Oryctolagus cuniculus: one gene and its partner. The protein of the gene in region 2 purifies or fractionates together with the protein of the main gene of each other region. This does not show direct contact. Links are inferred from orthologs where the notes say so. Each region holds a gene or a part of one and is shown on either strand. Other genes may lie near its edges. The genes, in order: CAPZB and MTPN.

Region 1 (3,801 bases), on a different chromosome or scaffold from region 2:
TGCTCCCATCTGTCCTGCAAAGAGCCGTCTAGAAGAAGGAAACTGGGGCAGCAGCTGCTCCAGGAGCCGTGTCGCACCCTGCGCTGCGTCCCCCGTCTGGGAGGAATCTGAGTCCCTGAGAAGGCAGAAGGGGTGTCAGAGACCACAGAGCCGCAGCCCTGAGACCACAGAGCCACAGCCCTGAGCCCACGCTCTCCCCGCGTCCCTCCCCAACCTGGGGCACCAGGACACAGCCAGGGATCCACCCCGGGACCTGTGCAGGGTTGTTCATCCCACACTGCCAGGCGAATCGCAGCTGAGGGGCAGCCGGGACCTGGACTGGCCATCTGTCTCCTGGCTCACGGGCCTGTTTCCTGCAGGTATTTTGAAGGTGGTGTCTCATCTGTCTACCTCTGGGATCTGGATCATGGCTTTGCGGGAGTGATCCTCATAAAGAAGGCTGGAGATGGATCAAAGAAGATCAAAGGCTGCTGGGATTCCATCCACGTGGTGGAAGTGCAGGTACAGCCCCCGCAGCAGCCGGCAGCCGGGCCTCCGGGTGCAGCTTTGGCGCTGGGGACACTGATGAAAACCCCTGCTAATTCCTAGAAACACCCCAAAGCCGATTGGATGCAGATCAGTGAGGACTGAGTAGTCGTGGATCATAAGGTCCCAGCGAACTCGGCGTACGCGGTTACAGATGCAGCCCTTTCAAAAACAGCGTGGGGTGGGTGTGCGGCACGGCAGTCAGGATGCGACTTAGGGTCCTGCGCCCCGTAGTGGAGTGCCTGGGTCCTCCCCGCTCTGCTTCCAGTTCCAGCTTCTTGCTAACGCACACCCTGGCAGGCTGGAGTACCTGGGTCCCTGCCACCCACATGAGAGACCCAGATTCAGTTCTCAGCTTCTGGCTTCGGCTGTGCCCAGCCCTGGGTGTTGAAAGTGGGGAATAAATCTCTCACGCCATCTTTTGGCTTTTCAAATAAAATAATTAAAAACATTTCGGGGAGTCCCTCCCTTCCTCCCCCCCCCCCCTCTCTAGAAAGCTACAGATCTCCCCGTTGGTGTTTCTCTCTCCAGGTTATCTGTAACAGCCTGGGCTGTGCCTGGCCAAAGCCAGGAACTGGCACTCAGTCCAGGTCTCCCACTTGGGTGTCCCTTGCTGCCTCCCAGGGCAGATGCGAGGAGGGAGCTGGATCCAGCATAGAGTACGGGCATGCCAGATGCCCACCCCAGTGGCCATGGCTGAGGAGGGAGCACTTGAGCGTTCCTCGGGCTCTGATCTCTCGTCCTCCCCTGCAGGAGAAGTCCAGTGGCCGCACTGCCCACTACAAGCTGACTTCCACGGTGATGCTGTGGCTGCAGACCAACAAATCCGGCTCGGGTACCATGAACCTCGGAGGCAGCCTTACCAGACAGGTAGTGTCTCCCTTCACTCAGCCCAGCGCACACTCCAGCTCCGCCCCCGAGCGGCCATGGCTGCCTCGCAGCGCTCGTGGGCTGCACTCCCTCGGCCCCCTCTCTGGCCATGAGCAGCCCTGTGGTCCGGTCAGCCCTCGGCTTTGTCAGGAGCTTGTTAGAAACACAGAGCTCTCAACCCTGACCGGTCAGCTTCTCCTGACTTCCGCTCTCGATGCTATTGGTGAAGCGTCAGAACAGATAAGCTACCTTTGGCAAGCCTCACCCATCCTGAGAGAAGGCATTCACCTGTGCCCAGTGCAGGGCGGCAGGACGCTTGGGGTGGGGCAGAGGGGAAGCCCAGACCCAGCCCACCCCAGCCTGGGAGGGAGCTGCCTTCGCCCGCCAGCGCGGATGCTGTGTTGGTGGAAGTGCGGTGGCCTTGGGCGTCCAGGGGAGCTCTCTTCTCCCGTCCCTGTTCCCGTTCTCGTCCGGCCTGCTCTCCTGGACAAGGGTTCCTTTTAACATCAAAAATCTTTTCAGTAAGATAACTGTACTCTTAGTTAGTTGCTGTTGATAGAAAAAATAACATAGAGCAGAAAGGATTGATTCGGTAACCCTCTGAAGTGGATTTGTAGTCACGCGGTTGAGACGGTGCCTGGGCGTGGCATACCTGAGGTGCAAGGGCCGTCCCACCGGGCTGGAGGCTGCCAGGTTCCTGGGGTCCCCGTCTGGCCTCTGGCACCAGGGCTCACAGGGCAGGGCCTGTCCTCTCATGTGGGATGGCTCTTGCCTTCTGGGGACCAGTGACACGGGAGGGGCGACCAGCCCTGCCACAGGCTCCTCCCCCACTCCGGCCACCTGGCAGTCGGGTGCAAAATCCTGGCTCCGTATCCGGAGACTACTTCCTGCATCACTTACCGCTCTGCACTGTTTATAGTTCCACCCGGTCTACAGTGACCTGGACAAATATTTAGTCCTCGGCCTTCCTAGTAGTTTAAATCAGAGCTGTCAGCCCACGGCCAGCGCCTGGTTCCGGCTTGGCGTGCAGGGTGCTCCTGCCAGACCAGACTCGGGCCTGACGAGCAGCTGTCCTCAGAACACCTCAGGGGGCCACCGGCCTGCTCTTGCCTCTGCTCTGGGAGCTTTAGCGAGAAGACCCTGACTCCTGTCGTCATGTAATCACCTGCGGTGCGTGGCAGCTGGGGCCGTCTCCAGTGTCGGTCACTAACTGGGGGGTGCAGTGAGGTCAGTGAGCCTGAGTAGATGGCACAGATTCTGAGCAGCAGGCGACGCAAGGGCCGCGGGCTTCAGCCGTGCGTCCCGGGCTCAGCCTTGGCCAGGTGCCTCTGGTTGCCTTGGCAGGTAGGGGGCTGGAGGAGCGGCAAAGAGGTTCCCGGCGGATGGAGGAAGCCAGGGAGCGTGTGCAGACCCTGTGTGGGGCCGGCTCCCCAGGGAGGGTGCGCAGACCCTGTGTGGGGCCGGCTCCCCAGGGAGGGTGCGCAGACCCTGTGTGGGGCCGGCTCCCCAGGGAGGGTGCGCAGACCCTGTGTGGGGCCGGCTCCCCAGGGAGCGTTGCAGACCCTGTGTGGGGCCGACTCCCCAGGGAGGGTGCGCAGACCCTGTGTGGGGCCGGCTCCCCAGGGAGGGTGCGCAGACCCTGTGTGGGGCCGGCTCCCAGCAAGGACAAGCGCAGGAGAGCCAGCGTTCCCATTGAACAGGGAGGAAGCAGGTTCAGGCTGGTAAGGGCCTCTCCCATGCTGACTCAAGCAATAAGAGGCAAAGCCTGGATTTGACCCTAGATTTGTTGACTTCCCCTCACCGCCCCCGAAAAAAACCCACTGCTTTCTGCCACGCCACACTTTTGATTTTTGGGGGGGGGGGCCATACTAGTTTTTTGTTGTTGTTGTTTAGTTGGTTTTTTGGGGTTTTTGGGGTTTTTTTTTGAAGATTTATTATTTATTTGAAAGGCAGAGTTATAGAGAAAGAGGTCTTCCATCCTCTGGTTCACTCCCCAGATAGCTGCAGTGGCCGGAGCTACACCGATCCGAAGCCAAGAGCTTCTTCCAGGTCTCCCACGCGGGTGCAGGGGCCCAAGGACTTGGGCCATCTTCTGCTGCTTTCCCAGGCCATAGCAGAGAGCTGGATCAGAAGTGGAGCAGCTGGGACTTGAACCAGCACCCCTATGGGATGCCGGCACTGCAGGCGGCTTTACCCGCTACGCCACGCGCCGGCCCCGCTTTTGGTCTTGATCTGTCCCCGGTGGCTGATGTTCAGCAGATGCTAAATAAACATTCGAAGGGAAATACTCTGAATATGAAGCTCAACAGAGGCAGAAGCTGCTGAGCCAGCTGCCCGAGCACTTGTGCCAAGCGGCTGCTGTGGCCCGTGGTGTCGGGCGGGCCTGTGCGGGGCCCACGGCGGACC
Region 2 (4,264 bases):
TTGCCTCAACCATCATTTTAATGTTTAATATGGAGTAACCTAACTTTTTTCCTGTATGTTGCTTTTTCCTTATAGAAACATGCAATTTTCAGTGGTCTGGGAATTCTGAACTGACTCTTCAGAGTTCAAAAACTCACTTAACATCAACAATTTATGGCTATCCATACTTCAATTTCTGTAGAGAAGTCAGAAGCAAGTAAAAACATACAATTACCGATTTTTTTAAAGAAAAACATTAAAATGCTTCTCCTACAAGAACATTCTTATATGTTAACAATATGAGTGATTTGCATAAAGTTACTAAATAGATTATTTTAAAAAGGCTTCTAAGAATGAAAACTAGACAAGTTCAAATGTTTCTTTAGTGCTCTGTATACACCAACTCAGATAAATGCACCTAAACTCAGCAAATAATGCTCCTAAATTGATGGATGAAAAAGATGAGATAATGAACAAGTACAGAAGAGGCAGCTGAGCAGAAGAGGCTGTAATTAGGACTTGAGAGTGTAAAAAGGCAAAATAAAGGAGTTCATCAATAAAAAACTGGAGGGTCAGGTGTTTTTTGTTTTGGTTATTGTTCTCATTAACAAAGTAAAAGATATTTTAAGAGAACCATGTTACTCAGTGAAAACTAAGAAAGGCAAAAGTTCAATGGTCTGTAAGTAGGATTACATTACAGTCAAACCCTTTTGGATAACCTGGTATTCAATACTTCCTTTACTTTTGTACATCCTCCCTATCACACACATTTTTTTTTGTTGTTGTTGTTAATGACAGTAGGTGGTACGGTAGTAATTAGGGGAGAATCAAACTTAACACAGTAACCTAATTTCAAAGCCACCTGAAAGGAAATTAAATTAATCCATCCTTATTGGCATATATTCTTACAACAATGTTTTCATGTGATTGAGAACTCCTTGGGCACAAATTATTGGCCTGGATGTGGAACTTGGGGGTGTCCTACCATAAATCTTGTTTTTTTATGCTTTCACAACTATGTTTTAGAGTGAGAGAGACTGTATGGGGTAACTAAAATGTCTCTGCTCTGAAGTGAGCACTTCTAGGTTCACCATTTTGTAAAATCAGTATCTGTATGAGACTAATGATAGGACTTACCTTGTAGTATTTGCAAAGATAACATATGTATCACGAAGACTGCATATGAAGTGTGTTACTTTTGTAGCTTTAAGTTCAGTTAGTACTTAGCAACTTTCTGAATTTCAAATAACCTGGGTTCCGCCTTGACAAGAAAACCAAAGCCTACTCATTTCCAGAATACAATGTCCCACCACTGGTCAGGCTACCACGGACTGCAGTTCCACATAATTTCTTTTCTTCAACCTTACATTGAAACAGCCAATAATTCAGATCTCAGTGAGAAACCACTAGCGGAGAAGACAGTGCGCAGAAGGCACCCTGTCCTAAAAAGCCACTGCAAGCAACAAGCAGAAAGATCTAAATTGTGAGGGTACAGAATACAGTACAGCAGTCAGCAGCCTGCCTTGCGCAACCCTCCAAGTTTTAAGAAACTCCTGCTTCTGCTTCCTGGCTTCCTACCACACATCTCCAAGGCGGCACGCCGCTGGTCACACCTTGGAAGAATGAAAATCTACAATAGGCTCTCCCGCGTTCCAGAAGGTGCGCAAGACGCCCTTCGCAGCGTCACAAAACCAGACTTCCATTCTGGAAGCCTTTTTGTTGGGTGAGCACCATACTAGAATCACCTGTAAGTCCCCTCCTACAGAAGGTGAGGTCACGGGTCTCATTACGGCTGCGGTTTTACGGTCTGCGCTTGGGTTTTGAGGTCGGCTCTCCCGATCATGATTTCACCCTCAAGCACACTGTCACTGCACCGCATCATCACGCATGTGAGCGTTCCAGAGCGAACTGGCGAGAGGATGAACTTACCACGCTTGCTTGTCTGACGACCACTCCTATTTCTCCAACACCCCAGATGTCAACTGACAGCCCTACCACTTGAGGCAAAGATGCGTTTGTTGTGGCGAGGGGAGAGGAAAAGGCCACACCCTGAGTCAAGGCTCCACAACCAAGTGACACCGAGTTTCAGGATGTTAACTACTGCTATTTTCGGTACCCTCTTTCACGGTCAGTGACTTTTTAAAATTCACGCCAGGCCCAGAGTTAGAGAAAACGCTACTCAGACGACTTCGCCCGGCGACGGGCAAGTCGGAGACGGAGACGTACCCCCACTCACAGCCAGAGTTAAGGGGCCAGCCCCAGACGCTCAGCGCTCAGGACGGACTCTCGGGAGCCCGGGACCACTCCGGCCCTGCCCCGAGGGCTCCGGCCGGCAACAGCACACAGCAGGGACCTGACACAGCACGCCACCCGCCACCCGGCCACCTGCACTCCCCGTCTCCTCCGAGCCACCTCCGCCCGTCTCCCCGCCCGCCCGCCCGCCCCCGCCAGCCCGGCTCCATCAGCTCTGCCTCATCTCCACCCCACCCCCGTCCTCTCGCCCGCTCACCTTGGCCACGTAGTCCTTCACCTCGTCCAAGTCTCCGTTCTTCAGGGCCCACATGAACTCCTTGTCGCACATCGCTGCAGCGGGGCGGGCCGCTTGGTCCGGCAGAAGACGAGGCGGCGGCGGCAGCAGCCAGCGGATACCGCCCGGCGGGAGGGACACGGGGCCGCACGAAGCCGGAGAGGAGACGAGAAGGCGGCTTAGGCTGCCAGACGGGCGAGGCAGTTGGCCGCGACAACCGTTGGGGCGGGAGAATGAACTTTTGCGGCCACCAGGCCCAGCGGAGCAGGTTCCGCCTGGCCGAGAGAAGCTGGAGCGCTAGCACTTCCGGTTCACTCCCCGCTAGGACCCGCCCCTAACTTCCTCTTCCTCTTCCCCTCCCCGGAACTGCCCTCTGTGGACCCCGCCCCTGCGCCGGCGGCGCGAGCCACACTAGTGCGCAGGCGCAGTGGCTAGGTGGCCCTCGCCTGGCCGGGAGGGAGGGGCTGGGGAGGGGTTCCCGGGTTTGGGAAGCTGAGTGTAGGGGTACCGGGGAGCTGCGGGGAGAAGAGCCGGTGGGGGAGGGTCAGAGCAGGTCAGACTGGAATAGGAGATTTCTGCACCCAGTAAACGGGAAGAACTTTTTTAAATCTTGGAGGGCCTCTTGCTCACCTTCTAAAGATGTCAAGTTCAGGCGATTTTTGATTTGGGTTTCTCCCTTCTCTCCCCTCCCTCCATCCCGTCCTCCCTCCCTCCTCCCCTCTCTTCCTCTCTCCCTCCAGTCCTTCCTGACTCCTTCCTCCCTCCCATCTTCCTCCCCTTCCTCCCTTCCCTCTCCCTCCTCCCTCCCTTCATCCCTCCCTCCATCCCATCCTCCCTCCCTCCTGCCCTCTCTCCCTCCAGTCCTTCCTGCCTCCCTTCCTCCCTTCCCTCTCCCTCCTCCCTCCCTTCTTCCCTCCCTCCCTCCCTCCCTCCTGCCCTCTCTTCCTCTCTCCCTCCAGTCCTTCCTGCCTCCCTTCCTCCCTCCCATCTTCCTCCCTTCCCTCTCCCTCCTTCCTCCCTTCATCCCTCCCTCCCATCTTCCTCCCCTTCCTTCCTTTCCCTCTCCCTCCCTTCATCCCTCCCTCCACCCCATCCTCCCTCCCTCCTGCCCTCTCTCCCTCCAGTCCTTCCTGCCTCCCTTCCTCCCTCCCATCTTCTTCCCTTCCCTCTCCCTCCTCCCTCCCTTCATCCCTCCCTCCTGCCCTCTCTCCCTCCCTCCTGCCCTCCCTCCCTCTCTCCTCCAGTCCTTCCTGCCTCCCTTCCTCCCTTCCCTCTCCTTCCTCCCTCCCTTCATCCCTCCCTCCATCCCATCCTCCCTCCCTCCTGCCCTCTCTCCCTCTCTCCCTCCAGTCCTTCCTGCCTCCCTTCCTCCCTCCCATCTTCCTCCCTTCCCTCTCCCTCCTCCCTCCCTTCATCCCTCCCTCCCATCTTCCTCCCCTTCCTTCCTTTCCCTCTCCCTCCTCCCTCCCTTCATCCCTCCCTCCATCCCATCCTCCCTCCCTCCTGCCCTCTCTCCCTCCAGTCCTTCCTGCCTCCCTTCCTCCCTCCCATCTTATTCCCTTGCCTCTCCCTTCTCCCTTCCTTCATCCCTCCCTCCTGCCCTCTCTCCCTCCAGTCCTTCCTGCCTCACTTCCTCCCTCCCATCTTCCTCCCTTCCCTCTCCCTCCTCCCTCCCTTCATCCCTCCCTCCCATCTTCCTCCCTTCTTTGCCCCCCTTTCTTTCCTCTTCCTCTTCCTTCCTTCCCTCCTTTTGCCGTC

What was found.
Region 1: the proteins of MTPN (region 2) and CAPZB purify together in Homo sapiens (co-immunoprecipitation; 3 studies listed by BioGRID and IntAct, with this or other methods). This does not show direct contact. The link is inferred for Oryctolagus cuniculus from reciprocal best matches to the Homo sapiens genes MTPN and CAPZB.

Annotation. Positions count from the first base shown.
Region 1 is NC_091438.1:151,246,436-151,250,236, forward strand, and holds part of CAPZB (F-actin-capping protein subunit beta), read left to right. Parts: intron 1-359; coding exon 360-501; intron 502-1,278; coding exon 1,279-1,395; intron 1,396-3,801. UniProt on the Homo sapiens protein: F-actin-capping proteins bind in a Ca(2+)-independent manner to the fast growing ends of actin filaments (barbed end) thereby blocking the exchange of subunits at these ends.
Region 2 is NC_091434.1:171,773,323-171,777,586, forward strand, and holds the start of MTPN (myotrophin), read right to left. Parts: upstream 2,884-4,264; 5' UTR 2,561-2,883; coding exon 2,489-2,560; intron 1-2,488. UniProt on the Homo sapiens protein: Promotes dimerization of NF-kappa-B subunits and regulates NF-kappa-B transcription factor activity. Plays a role in the regulation of the growth of actin filaments.